3 linked regions of the Saccharomyces cerevisiae S288C genome follow. The gene in region 3 interacts genetically with the main gene of each other region. Each region holds a gene or a part of one and is shown on either strand. Other genes may lie near its edges.

Region 1 (4,829 bases), on a different chromosome or scaffold from region 3:
GAAGTGTACTTCTTTTTGTAATGTTGAGCTTGACGTTCCGAAGTTGTCTTCTCATCTTTCTTGACGTTATGTTTTTGGTCATAGTCCAATTTCCATTTAACCAAATGTGGGAATAAGATCCATTTGCCAAAAAGAAACCAAATATGGTAGAATATAGCAACATAAAAAATTGAGTGCAAGTTGGAGAGAATCGCTTCCGACTTGATTATATTGCGATTTGCCAAGAACGGAATCACCGTGGTCTTAAATAATTCCGGTTGAGGAAGCGACAATAAAACATCCATTTTTTCTTGTAGGCAATGTTCACCTTCGTGCTTGAATTCCTTCCGGGGGGGGGGGCAGAAGCTTGAGATAGAGGAGAGGTCTTCTTCTTTTTCTTTTTGATCTGTCCAACAAACGTTTTTTCTCTCTCCTTGGCTTATGTTAAATATGCCCTCGGGAACTGCTCGAAAAAAACAGGAAAAAAACCGCGTTGAGAAAAAGTACCAACAATATGAAATTTTTCGTTTATTTGAGCATTTGTTGTGCCAAGTATAATCAAGACGATAGAGTAGGCTGCTTTTAAAGTTAAATCAACGAATGTTCCATTTCACATAAATAAAAACTACACATAAATAAAAGATTAGCGCAATTAAAAGGAGAAAAAAAGTAAGAAACTCATCCTATCAGTAAGTCTTGTTCTTCTCGTTGGCATTCTTGGCATCGTTGTCTGCTAAAATCAAGGCTGCCCTTTTTAGCTGGACAACGTTTGCGGTCTGCTTGAACACGTAACCAGGGAAACTTATGATTGTAGTCCATTTACCAAAGGTTGCAGAATTTGAGAACAACTGCAAGTACAATCCAGCATAAAATAGTTCGTTAAACGCACAGATAGTGAACAGTACGTCTCTTCTCGTGTAGTACAGGTGTAACAATCTGGACTCACCCTCGCCCACACTTTTATGAGAAGTCTTACCAGCACTTAAACTGGCATACATATGCATGTAGTGACTAGTAATATCCAAGCCCAGCATTAATTGGAAGAAAACGCACCATTGGGGATACTGCACACAAAGGAAACACATCAAGCCAGCGGTACTGGATCTGTCGGTAACCATGTCCAGAACGGCACCCAGACTGGAAACCTGATTGTACTTTCTTGCCATGGTTCCGTCTAGCGCATCCAGTAGACATGATGTACTATACAACCATGTAAAGGCCGTAGGATGATTCTTCATAACGAAAAAAGAAAGGGCGGCGGTGATAACACGAACATAACCGATCTTATTGGGAATATACCACAGAACGTGTTCTGCAGTAACCTTTTCTGGTGTTGAATTCGAACTCATCTTGTACTATCACACTTTCCCTCTTATTTACATTACTTGAAGGCTCCACAGTGACGGCAAATAAACCATACCACCTCTCATGTTTTTTATGTTTTACTTATATACTAAAAGTGAAAAATCCTCGAGACGGAAAAAACAATAGGAGGGGCTTTCCCTATTGAGAAATAATTTCCGTAATAGGGATTTACGTGCGGAGCGACGTGAATTTTATAAAATGAAAAAATTTTATGGAAATTTAGAGCTCATCTCATCTCATCTCATCGGTACTTCATATGCAAAGACTGCAACCTGAACTGAGATTTAATTTGAGCCTCAAGCACAAGATAACATAACTAACATGTCCCGTATCATTGTCAAGGGTTTGCCCGTCTATCTAACAGATGATAATCTCAGGGAGCATTTTACAAAAAGATTACGTCAAAAACATTCCCATCAAGCAGTTAATGGTAGTGGTCCAGACCTCATAACAGATGTTAAAATTCTTAGAGATAGGAACGGAGAAAGTAGAAGATTTGGATTTATCGGATACCGTAACGAGGAAGACGCTTTTGATGCTGTAGAGTATTTCAATGGCAGTTTTATCAACACTTCTAAGATAGAAGTGTCCATGGCTAAAAGCTTTGCAGACCCAAGAGTCCCGCAGCCCATGAAGGAGAAGAGAAGAGAAGCTCTGAAAAGGTTTAGGGAAAAGGAAGAAAAATTGCTACAAGAAGAAAATCGAAAGAAAAAGAAAGTGGATGAAAATAAGCACAGCAACATTGATGACGAGATTCGCAAGAACAAGCAATTACAAGAGTTCATGGAGACTATGAAGCCAAGCTCACAAGTCACATCATGGGAAAAAGTTGGCATTGACAAGAGCATAGAGGACGAAAAACTAAAACGGGAAGAAGAGGACTCCAGCGTGCAAGGGAATTCTCTATTGGCTCATGCATTAGCCTTAAAGGAAGAGAATAATAAAGACGAAGCACCAAATTTGGTCATTGAGAATGAAAGTGACGATGAATATTCGGCTCTCAACAGAAACAGGGATGAAGATCAAGAAGATGCCGGAGAGGAAGAAAAGATGATAAGTATTAGCAATTTGAAGGATACTGATATAGGTTTAGTTAATGATGACGCTAATAGTGATGAAAAAGAGAATGAAAAGAGGAGAAACCTCGCCCAAGATGAAAAGGTTTCTGACCTAGATTGGTTCAAACAACGCCGTGTAAGAATCAAAGAAAGTGAAGCGGAAACAAGGGAAAAATCATCATCATACGCTACTGAACAAAATGAAAGTCTCGATACCAAGAAGGAAGAACAACCAGAACGTGCTGTGCCGCAAAAGACGGACGAAGAACTGGCTATTGAAAAAATTAACCAAACTGGCCGTTTATTCTTACGTAATATCTTGTATACCTCCAAAGAAGAAGATTTCAGGAAACTATTTAGTCCATTTGGAGAGTTAGAGGAGGTTCATGTGGCTTTGGATACCAGGACTGGTCAATCCAAAGGATTTGCATACGTTCTATTTAAGGATTCTAAGAATGCAGTGAACGCCTATGTTGAATTGGATAAACAGATTTTTCAAGGAAGACTATTGCATATTCTTCCTGGTGAAGAAAAAAAAAGCCATAGATTAGATGAGTTTGATTTAAAGAATATGCCATTGAAAAAGCAAAAGGAATTGAAAAGGAAGGCAGCTGCATCCAGACAAACATTTTCTTGGAACTCCTTGTATATGAACCAAGATGCTGTTTTGGGTAGTGTGGCAGCCAAATTGGGTCTAGAAAAATCTCAATTGATCGATGCTGAAAACTCAAGTTCGGCTGTCAAACAAGCTTTGGCTGAAGCCCATGTTATTGGTGATGTTAGAAAATACTTTGAATCCAAAGGTGTTGATCTGACCAAGTTTTCACAGTTAAAATCTACAAATCAAAGAGACGATAAAGTGATACTGGTTAAAAATTTTCCTTTTGGGACAACTAGAGAAGAGCTTGGCGAAATGTTTTTGCCATATGGTAAATTGGAAAGATTGCTCATGCCACCAGCTGGTACAATAGCTATAGTGCAATTCAGGGACACAACGTCAGCAAGGGCAGCTTTCACTAAACTATCGTATAAAAGATTTAAGGACGGCATAATATATCTAGAAAGGGGGCCTAAGGATTGCTTTACTAAACCAGCTGAGGCCGATGATTTGATAAATAACACTTCTGCAAAAGAAGAAGAAAACCCGGTAGAGGTAAAACCTTCATCAAATGACTTAATGGAAGCAAACAAGGATGTAACTGAAGGGTCATCTAATGCTCATGATGAAGACGTTATTGATGGTCCAACTGTCTCAATTTTCATAAAGAATCTAAACTTCTCCACGACGAACCAAAATCTTACTGATAGGTTCAAGGTTTTCACTGGTTTTGTTGTTGCCCAAGTGAAGACAAAACCTGATCCAAAACATCAAGGCAAGACCTTGTCAATGGGGTTTGGTTTTGTAGAATTCAGGACCAAGGAACAAGCTAATGCCGTGATAGCTGCAATGGATGGGACGGTAATCGACGGCCATAAGATTCAATTGAAGTTATCCCATAGACAAGCATCTCAGAGCGGTAATACAAAGACTAAATCCAATAAGAAAAGCGGTAAAATCATTGTTAAGAATCTTCCATTTGAAGCTACTAGGAAAGACGTTTTCGAATTATTCAATTCTTTTGGTCAATTAAAATCTGTTAGAGTTCCAAAGAAGTTCGACAAGTCTGCAAGAGGTTTTGCGTTCGTGGAATTTTTACTTCCAAAGGAAGCAGAAAATGCTATGGATCAGTTGCACGGTGTCCATTTACTGGGCCGCAGATTGGTAATGCAATATGCAGAAGAAGATGCAGTTGACGCTGAAGAAGAGATAGCCAGGATGACAAAGAAGGTTAGAAAGCAAGTTGCCACTAATGAGATGGCTGCCTTAAGAAATGGGGGCGGTAGAAAGAAACTGGATGTGGATGATGAAGAAAACGAAGGTTTCTAGTTTACCCTATCAGCTTATCGTATTTTTCTTTCATAATTTACATTTTATTTGAATATATAAATCATATTACTACTTTAATAGCATAAAACTCTTCAAAACATCTCATCCCGAAAAAGATTACTAAACTTAAAAATTACATGTTGCCTTGGTTTCATAATTTTGGTAATCATTCAAAATGGAAAATGTTAGCACATCTTGTTGCTGTTGTCAATGTATCTGTTATGCTATACAAAATTAAATTGTAGGGACGTAATCTTAATAAAAAGTTGAAAAAGGGTCTGAATGTTCTGAACCATTGTAAAGTATCCCGCTTGAACCTTGTTTTCCATCTCTATGCCTAAAAGTAAATCCAACAAGCTTGGAATCAACGGCAGAGTCATCGACCATTGCAGATAATTTGTTCTGTCTTTTGAAGACATCTGCATATTTAGCCATATCTTCTTCATTTGTGAAGTCATCGAAATAACCTGCATCCGTTTCATCATCTAATTGAGGAATAA
Region 2 (4,755 bases), on a different chromosome or scaffold from region 3:
AATAAGAAAAATAAGATCCATTTGCGGAACGCTGCCTAAGGCACTCGGTAAATCGTCACTTAGCTGATCATCGAGTAACGTAATTTTCCTTACAGGAGTTGATTGAGTCAAATCTTGGAAAGTTAGCAAACTATTGAGTACTGGCAATACACTTGGTTGAACCACAAGAACTTCATCATTTTGAGATATCTCATTTAAGGTAGCACATAGTCCATCGGCATTTGTTAATGAAAATTTCTTAGTATTCCAAAATCTATTCATCGTGAAATGATTTGATAAAGTTGGAGATGGGCAATATCAGCTTTTTCTTCCTTTCTCGAATTTTCTATCTTTTAACTAATTAACATATAACTAGTTCCAATTTGCTAACCTTTATGATATTTTATTTATGTATGTTCGTGTGAAGTGATTAATATATTATACAAAATGACCGGAGTTCAGTATAATTTCTATCTACTATTATTGAGCACACAAAGGAAAAGAATTGACTATGAACAAGCTTACGAAGATGAACCGCTTCTTAGAGCAAACTCTTCATAATAAGAGAGCATTTCTGGAGTAATGCCCCTAGCAATTCCTTTAAAAGCTTTCTCAAAATGACGTAATTCCACTTTTGCGACATCTAAATCTTCCATTATGGCAGCCAAGCCCGCTTCTTGACAAAGCAGCACAACTTCAGCTCCGGAATAACCTTCTGTACGGTCTGCCAATTCATGAAGATCGACTCCAGACTCTTCTGTATTAAATTTCTTTGTGCACTTCTTTAAGATTTCCAAGCGGGCGTTTACGTCTGGAGGGCCAACGTAAATGTGTCTATCTAACCTACCAGGCCTTAGAAGAGCAGCATCTATTTCATCAGGTCTATTCGTCGCCGCTACAATAACTACACCCTTTAACTCTTCAACACCATCAATCTCATTGAGTAAAGATGTGAGCACGTGATTAGCTGCAGAGGTGGAACTCCCGTCTCTATCAGGAGATAATGCATCGATTTCATCAAAGAAGATAATACTTGGAGCTGCAGAGCGTGCTTTGCGGAAAATTTCTCTTATAGCTCTTTCGGATTCCCCTACATACTTGTTAAAAATTTCAGGCCCTTTCACAGCTAAGAAGTTGATACCCGATTCTGTAGCGAGAGCTTTTGCGGTTAATGTCTTGGAGCAACCTGGCGGCCCGTAAAGTAATACACCTTTTGGTGCAGAAATTCCCAGCCTGGCAAAAGTCTCCGAAGCCTCCAAAGGCAACTGTATCATTTCTTTCATCTTTGTTTTAAGCTCTTCTTGGCCGCCAATGTCAGACCAATAAACTTTTGGCATTTCTAAGAAGATTTCTCTCATTGCGCTGGGTCTGATATCAACCATGGCGCTCTCCACATCTTTCAATGTAACTTTTAGGGAAAACTTGTCAATATTGGCGTCTGTTCCTAGTCCTCGTTGTATCGTCTTCATAACTGATTCTCTGCAGAGAGCAGTTAAATCAGCACCAACATAGCCATGCGTTTTAGAAGCAATGTACTTGATCGCTTCAGAATCTAATACGTGACGATCCGAGGACATTCTTGAGAATTGCTTAGTTAAAATGTCAAATCTGGCATCAACGTCTGGTATACCAATTTCTACTTCTTGGTCAAACCTGCCAGGTCTCCTGAGAGCAGGGTCGACAGAATTAGGCCTGTTTGTAGCAGCAATTACCACCACTTTACCTGCAGCGCCCATGCCATCCATTAGGGTAAGCAATGTAGCCACGACTCTGCTCTCAACTTCACCGGAGTCATCGTTTGCTCTATTTGGTGCTATTGAATCAATTTCGTCAATGAAAATAATGGAAGGCTGGTACTTCCTTGCTTCATTAAAAATATCTCTTAATGCCGCTTCCGTTTCACCAAGATATTTGGAGACGATTGAGGGGCCATTAATGGTTAGGACGTGTGCGTTGGACGTATTTGCTACAACTCTCAAAAGCATAGTTTTACCAGTACCTGGGGGTCCGTGAAGAAGTATACCTCGAGGGGGAGAAACACCAAAGCTACTAAATAGCGTCGGTTGATGAAGAGGTATTTCAATAGCACTTTTCAGTGATTCAATCTCCTTGTCTAAGCCGCCCACTGCTGCATAGGATAAGGGCTCCGGAAGATTGTATTTACGATTTGCCTGGGTTTCTTTCGAAAAAGTTATATGTGTGGAGCCTTTTCTGAATATAAAAGGTGGAGATAGATAAAACAGGTTATCTAATCCACCGTACATATCGTCCATGTTAAGATCTAGTTGGCTGACGTCGGGAAGCGAATCATCGCTCGCATCTGTAATTACGACATCAATGCTTTCATCACCTGCTTTTGTTTTTAAGTTTTGAAAAATCATTCCAGGCATTATAACGCCACTATCATCCAGTAGCTTTTGAATTACTTTTTCCTCCATACATTCCAAAATATTATATCCTTGTAAGGACCCCACGGTAACCTTAGTGGCATAAGGTGGTTGCACCTGGGCTTTCTTTAATTCTAGACGATCACCAAGGATAAGGTTCCCAACAGATCGTATAGTTGTGGAAAGGGTGATAACATTAACAGGATGTACTTCTTCATCACCCGCTCTAGCTATTACTAAAATACCATTTTCGCCTATCTTACCGACAGTACAAAATGATCCCGGATTTATCTCAAGCGAGGATAATACGTTAGGATGAATATATGCTGTGCATGTTTCCTTGCCATGATCTTTAGAAGGATGTGGTCTGGTAATAAATTCAGCAGGCAATTTAAATTTGGATGCTTTTGCATCAGCACTATTAGAACTTGCCGATGATTTCTTTTTGGAACCGGAAGAACTAGATTTAGGAGCCATTTTCCTTTCTATGATTGGGCAATTTTGAGAATGGGCAATGTTGAGAATTCAATTGTATATTGTTCGCATATTAGTTTATGTGATGAGGCAATATAAAATTTTCTTACAATAGTCCGCCCGTTGCTTACATGAAAGAAAAAAAAAATAAAGATGGATCGAAGTGGACTTAAAAACTATGTATACGTGTGTGTGTGTGTGTGCAATAAGAGTTCGAAAACATTAACTTTTATAAACATGACTCACATTGAGAATAAATGAGCTCTCTATAAATACAAACTTGCGGCGAAAACAATATCTCTCTTAATCAACTCTTGAGCCCTGCTCATCTTCATATGTAATGTGGAATTACCAATAATAATAGAGGCAGTCTTAACTTCGCGGCAAATTTCGTCTAGCCAAGTGATAACTCTGACTACAGTACCTTCAGCCTCGGGGCTCATTTCCATGATTTCTTTGAATGATAAACCACGGGCCCACTCATACACCACATTCATCATGGCAAACCTTTTTCTGTCCAAAAACTCAGCTTCATCCTGAGTTAATGGAATCTGATGCGTATTGAAAACACAAAGCATTTTCTTGTAAATTTCCTCAATTCTTTGTTTACCCTTTGCTAGCCTTGGTGTGACAATAGGAGGCTCCTCTTCCCTGGTTTTCCCCTCATAAACAAATACTGATAATAAGGCTACAATCTCTTCAGGTTCAAAGCTTCCTAAAAAGTTGTCTAAAATTAATTCAGTTAAAACTAACTCATAACCAGAATTAATTTCACATGCCACTCTACCTTTTAACAGCACGTTGTGGTTTTGGTCGATAAATTCAGTGTCTTTCAGAACAGCCAATCTCTTTTCATAATCGGGTAGTAAGCTCAGATTTTGGTCAGACATCAAATGGTACAATTCTTCAATTTTCTTTTTAATTACATGCGCCTTAAACTTGGGAACAATGTGTTGGCTTAGGTTGGGACATTTAATGCTTTTTAGTTTGAATATCTCATCCCTTATATTTGTACGGTCTAACAATATTTGGTGAATTTTTAAACCTTGCTTTTCAATGTTAATTGCTTCTTTTAGCGTTTTGCCGTCCAAAATGTTATTTGTTTCAGCGTTAAACTCGTTCAAAGCGGCAACATCCTTTTTAATCACTTTTCCCAAGGGTGCGGCAAACTTGCGTTTAGTGATCACTTCAATAGCCGTCACAGGAACTTCTTCCATATAAAAATCAGTCTTCTGGAATTTAGGGAAGTTCCTTCTTCTGTATCCATCCGCTTTTGGAAAGTATATTAAATGATTTGGCTCACCATTTGGGAGTTTGTATGGTTTTGTGAACGTCATAATGACACAAACAGCATCCTTCAGAGAAACTTTAAATACAAATCCTAATTTCAAGCAATCATTGGGGTCCCTAAAAGCAACGAGTCTGCCCTCTTTCAAGATATGCAATATCGAAGGCGATTTAACCATTTCTTGCATTAGGTTGACTGTTGCCTCCTTATATGCCAGCATCAATTCCAAAAACTTTTCGATATCATTATCACAGATTTCACAACTTTTGTACTCTATGGTTTGTAATTCCTCTTGTAATACTTTGATTTGTTTTTCATGTTCAGGTTGTAAAGTTTCTTTGGCATTCTCACTAAAAGAATACTTGATCATTTCTTCAACTCTCAACGCCTCAATTCTTAAAAGATTTAATATCATATTGTATGTTAATCTAAACTGAGACTGCAACCTCGTCGGAACACCCATCGTTACTTCTTTGAACGTAGCAATAGATAAAGGACTATTATATGCCATCACAATGACTGTACCAGTGGAATCCAAGCCCCTTCTACCAGCTCTACCAGCCATTTGGGTAAACTCACCTGGAGTCAGTTCTCTTAATCCATTACCATCATGTTTACGGATGCTGC
Region 3 (3,426 bases):
TAAGCCTAGTTTGCTATCTGCTATGGATTTCAATAGTTTCTTATCAATGCTTGAAAACTCATCTTTGGAGGAGGATGACTCAAGGAATGAAATGGCAGAATTGAACACTCTACGTAGCATGACGCCGGGACAACATTGGTCCGCCTCTGCAACAGTTGCAGGAGAGGCAACGAGTGCTGGAAGACCTTTCAGTGAGCCAACGAATGCGTTTACGGAATATAGAGATTCTGAAAGAGCAATAAATAGTTCCCCAGCGGTGTTCGCCCCCTACCGTGACAACCCTGATGATGAAGAGTCTCAAGAGCAAGTATTATTGGAGACAACAACGCATGGTCATTTTGGTGCGCAAGAAATGCGAAGGTTCTCCAAAAGGTCTCTGGGCTGGATTATAAAAATTTTCATACCACATCTCTCAAATTTTTCCCAGAAATCCATCTCAGATGCGATCTTTTCCATAATAACTGTTCCGTTTTTCATTATTTTCAAACTATCATGTCCTCAACCGCCTTCAGATATTTTGAGTTATGATCCCACTTTGAACAGATACTCTTTAACAACGTTACCCATAATTTTATTATTTATCCAATCAATTACTGCACCCTTCCTCCTTTGCAGTATACTTTCTGTGCTTTTGACATATCATCTAGGCTATCTCGTTTACCTTTTCCCTCTTATATTAGCTATGGCCTTAATTTTACTATTGACGGCTTTTATTACAAAGGTAAATCTGCATAACAAGTTTACTCTGTCATTAGACAGCTCTAACATTTTACAGGAAAAGCTACAAAAAAGAAAACTCCTCGAAAGGCTTAACACAAGCATCCAAATAATTTTTCTAGCTATCGGCATAATAAATATCATAATTTGGATATCACTTTTAGCCAATTCTCTTATTGAGATGATGGAAATTTACCAAAAAATATTAGGATTATCGAAAGCTATTTTGGGCCTTACCATTTTCGCATGGGGCAACTCAGTAGGAGACTTGATCTCCAACATATCTATGTGCAGGCTCTACAAAACCCAAACTCACTACCAAGACAGAGTTCGTTTAGCCACAAAATTTTTTATGATATCATGCGCATCTTGCTTAGGAGGCGTAATGCTGAATTCTATGGGTGGAATAGGCTTTAGTGGGCTAGTATCAATGCTTTTTATTGGCGCTTTTAATGATAACGAATGGTGGTTCCTAAGAAAGGTTAAATTACAAGAAACAAGTCAATTGGATAATACATTAAATTACAAATTCATAGTTTCTTGCGTCTTCATTATCCTACAGATTATTCTCTTGCTGTTATTCTTCGGAGGGCCTAACAATATTAAACGGCGCCTCACAAAGGAGATGAAGTTAGTCGGAATCTCTATGTGCGGACTATGGGCACTAGCCACGTTGATTAATATACTTCTAGAACTGTTTAGCTAAAGCTTGCAAGAGTGCCTCCCGAAAAATTTGTTTTTGTGACATTTATCTGGCGCCGTAACAGATCCGCGCAGAACACAGAACACCAAGAAAAGAAGTACTATTTAATTTCAAGATTACTTAGACTCCGTCATTCAAATCGCCCTTTTATTCAAACAAAAATGGGCCATATATTCTTTCTGTCTCAACCTTCGTTTCCTTGGATGAATTATTTTGATTGAGCTCCAAAAAAAAAGTTGTAGCCAGGAACTATCCAAAACTTCGATTGAGAAACCCATAACAATGATGCCTGCCAGACTTTTCATACTATATCTTTTTGTAGTACTCATGCCTGTTGTTCATTGTTCGTCCAACCTGCCCATCACTCCATATATCTATGAGCGTCTAGTATATTTTATTAAGGCAAGCTCTATATCAAGCTGCATATCTGACAACTTACTTCTTGTTAATAAAACCTTCAACGACGGAGGTTGTCCACCACATATTAACTTCTGCAATGATGAGATAATTAACCCAACAGCGGGTCAAACAGTGGTTGAATTAGTTCTTAATGCAAAAAAAGGTGAATTAGGCTCGGGTTATCTGGCTGTTGACCACGGAAAAAAGGTTGTTATTTTAGCATTTAGAGGATCCACAACAAGACAAGATTGGTTTAGTGATTTTGAAATATATCCTGTTAACTATTCTCCCCTTTGCGTTAAGGAATATCGTAAGCTTATAGAGGAAGGAAAAATCAGAGAATGTGAAGGTTGTAAAATGCATAGAGGATTTCTAAGGTTCACAGAAACTCTCGGGATGGACGTCTTTAAAAAAATGGAGTCGATTCTGGAAAGCTTTCCGGAATATAGGATCGTTGTCACTGGGCACTCCTTGGGGGCAGCATTAGCAAGTTTGGCTGGGATTGAATTAAAGATAAGAGGCTTTGATCCGTTAGTGCTGACATTCGCAACACCAAAGATATTTAACAGTGAAATGAAACAATGGGTAGACGAGTTATTTGAAACAGATGCTATAGAAAAGGAGTCAATTCTTAAAGATGAAATTCAATTTCGTAAGGGCTATTTTAGGGTTGTGCATACAGGTGATTATATTCCTATGGTTCCACCATTCTATCATCCGGCTGGTTTAGAGATGTTTATTAACAAAGTTGGTCTACCTCAGAATGCGGAAGATATTGAATACCGTGGTAAAAATAACAGGTTAACTTTAAAGGATGGATTTCGAGAGGGTATGAGCGGTTTGGTTGAAGACTGGTTACATGTCTATGAACATCGAGCCTACTTCATTGACGTAGTGGGATGTTCTGGACTTTAACATTCACCCACTTTTACGTTTTTGTCTATAACTAGCATATATAATACCGCTCTAGAGTTACTCTAAACTAAATGCGACCACTATTCTTAACTAATAATTGTTCTTTTTACAAATAACTCTTTCAAAACTTCTAATCTTTTCTCTTACGTTTTCCATTTATCTGCTCTTCTTCTGAAACTCTTTTTCCTGCATTGGCCCTCTCTTTGTTACATGAAAGAGGTTTTAGGGTTGGTAATATTTCTGGTTGTAAACTTCTTGAATACACTTGGGTAGCTAACTGCTTATTCCAGTTCTCCTGGCCACTAATCCCGGCTACGCTTTTGTTGAAATAGTATTCTTCTACAGCATCATAGCTATCATCACACATGTCTACTAGTTTCCACGTATGTCTTGGAGGTACTCTATCTTGACCGTAGATGGAAGCTTTAAAATTTTCATCCCTTGGGAAATATTCCTCACGTGGAATTTTTTGAGCGCTGCATGGCTAAATTCTACCGAATCCAATACGTATATCCACTACTCAACATGTTGGGGCACAAGTGATTACACACTTAATATCTCTGTCATAGAAGCTACTACAGAGAAATTGGTTGACACTAGATTATTAACAACACTCGAGAATGCAACCGCTTGGATTAACTCAAACTCTATTGATGAAGACGAAGATGATATGCCTCATGCCACTAACGTAG

The links. A genetic interaction does not mean that the proteins touch.
Region 1: mutations in LIH1 (region 3) and MRD1 together harm fitness more than expected from each alone (negative genetic interaction), as found in Saccharomyces cerevisiae (one large-scale study listed by BioGRID).
Region 2: mutations in LIH1 (region 3) and AFG2 together harm fitness more than expected from each alone (negative genetic interaction), as found in Saccharomyces cerevisiae (one large-scale study listed by BioGRID).

What each region holds. Positions count from the first base shown.
Region 1 is NC_001148.4:748,756-753,584, reverse strand, and holds MRD1 (RNA-binding ribosome biosynthesis protein MRD1), read left to right. Parts: upstream 1-1,665; coding exon 1,666-4,329; downstream 4,330-4,829. Other genes in the region: ALE2 (Ale2p), read right to left, coding at 1-284; PIS1 (CDP-diacylglycerol--inositol 3-phosphatidyltransferase), read right to left, coding at 666-1,328; serine/threonine-protein kinase DBF20, read right to left, coding at 4,585-4,829. UniProt on the Saccharomyces cerevisiae protein: Involved in pre-rRNA processing. Required for maintaining steady-state levels of 40S ribosomal subunit. Required for the initial processing of pre-rRNA at the A0 to A2 sites, leading to the processing of the 23S pre-rRNA intermediate to the 18S rRNA.
Region 2 is NC_001144.5:912,050-916,804, forward strand, and holds AFG2 (AAA family ATPase AFG2), read right to left. Parts: upstream 2,844-4,755; coding exon 501-2,843; downstream 1-500. Other genes in the region: tethering complex ATP-binding subunit VPS33, read right to left, coding at 1-261; SKI complex RNA helicase subunit SKI2, read right to left, coding at 3,107-4,755. UniProt on the Saccharomyces cerevisiae protein: ATP-dependent chaperone which uses the energy provided by ATP hydrolysis to generate mechanical force to disassemble protein complexes.
Region 3 is NC_001142.9:625,593-629,018, forward strand, and holds LIH1 (putative lipase), read left to right. Parts: upstream 1-1,747; coding exon 1,748-2,734; downstream 2,735-3,426. Other genes in the region: ECM27 (Ecm27p), read left to right, coding at 1-1,423; YJR107C-A (uncharacterized protein), read right to left, coding at 2,865-3,101; ABM1 (Abm1p), read left to right, coding at 3,120-3,426. UniProt on the Saccharomyces cerevisiae protein: Lipases catalyze the hydrolysis of the ester bond of tri-, di- and monoglycerides of long-chain fatty acids into fatty acids and glycerol.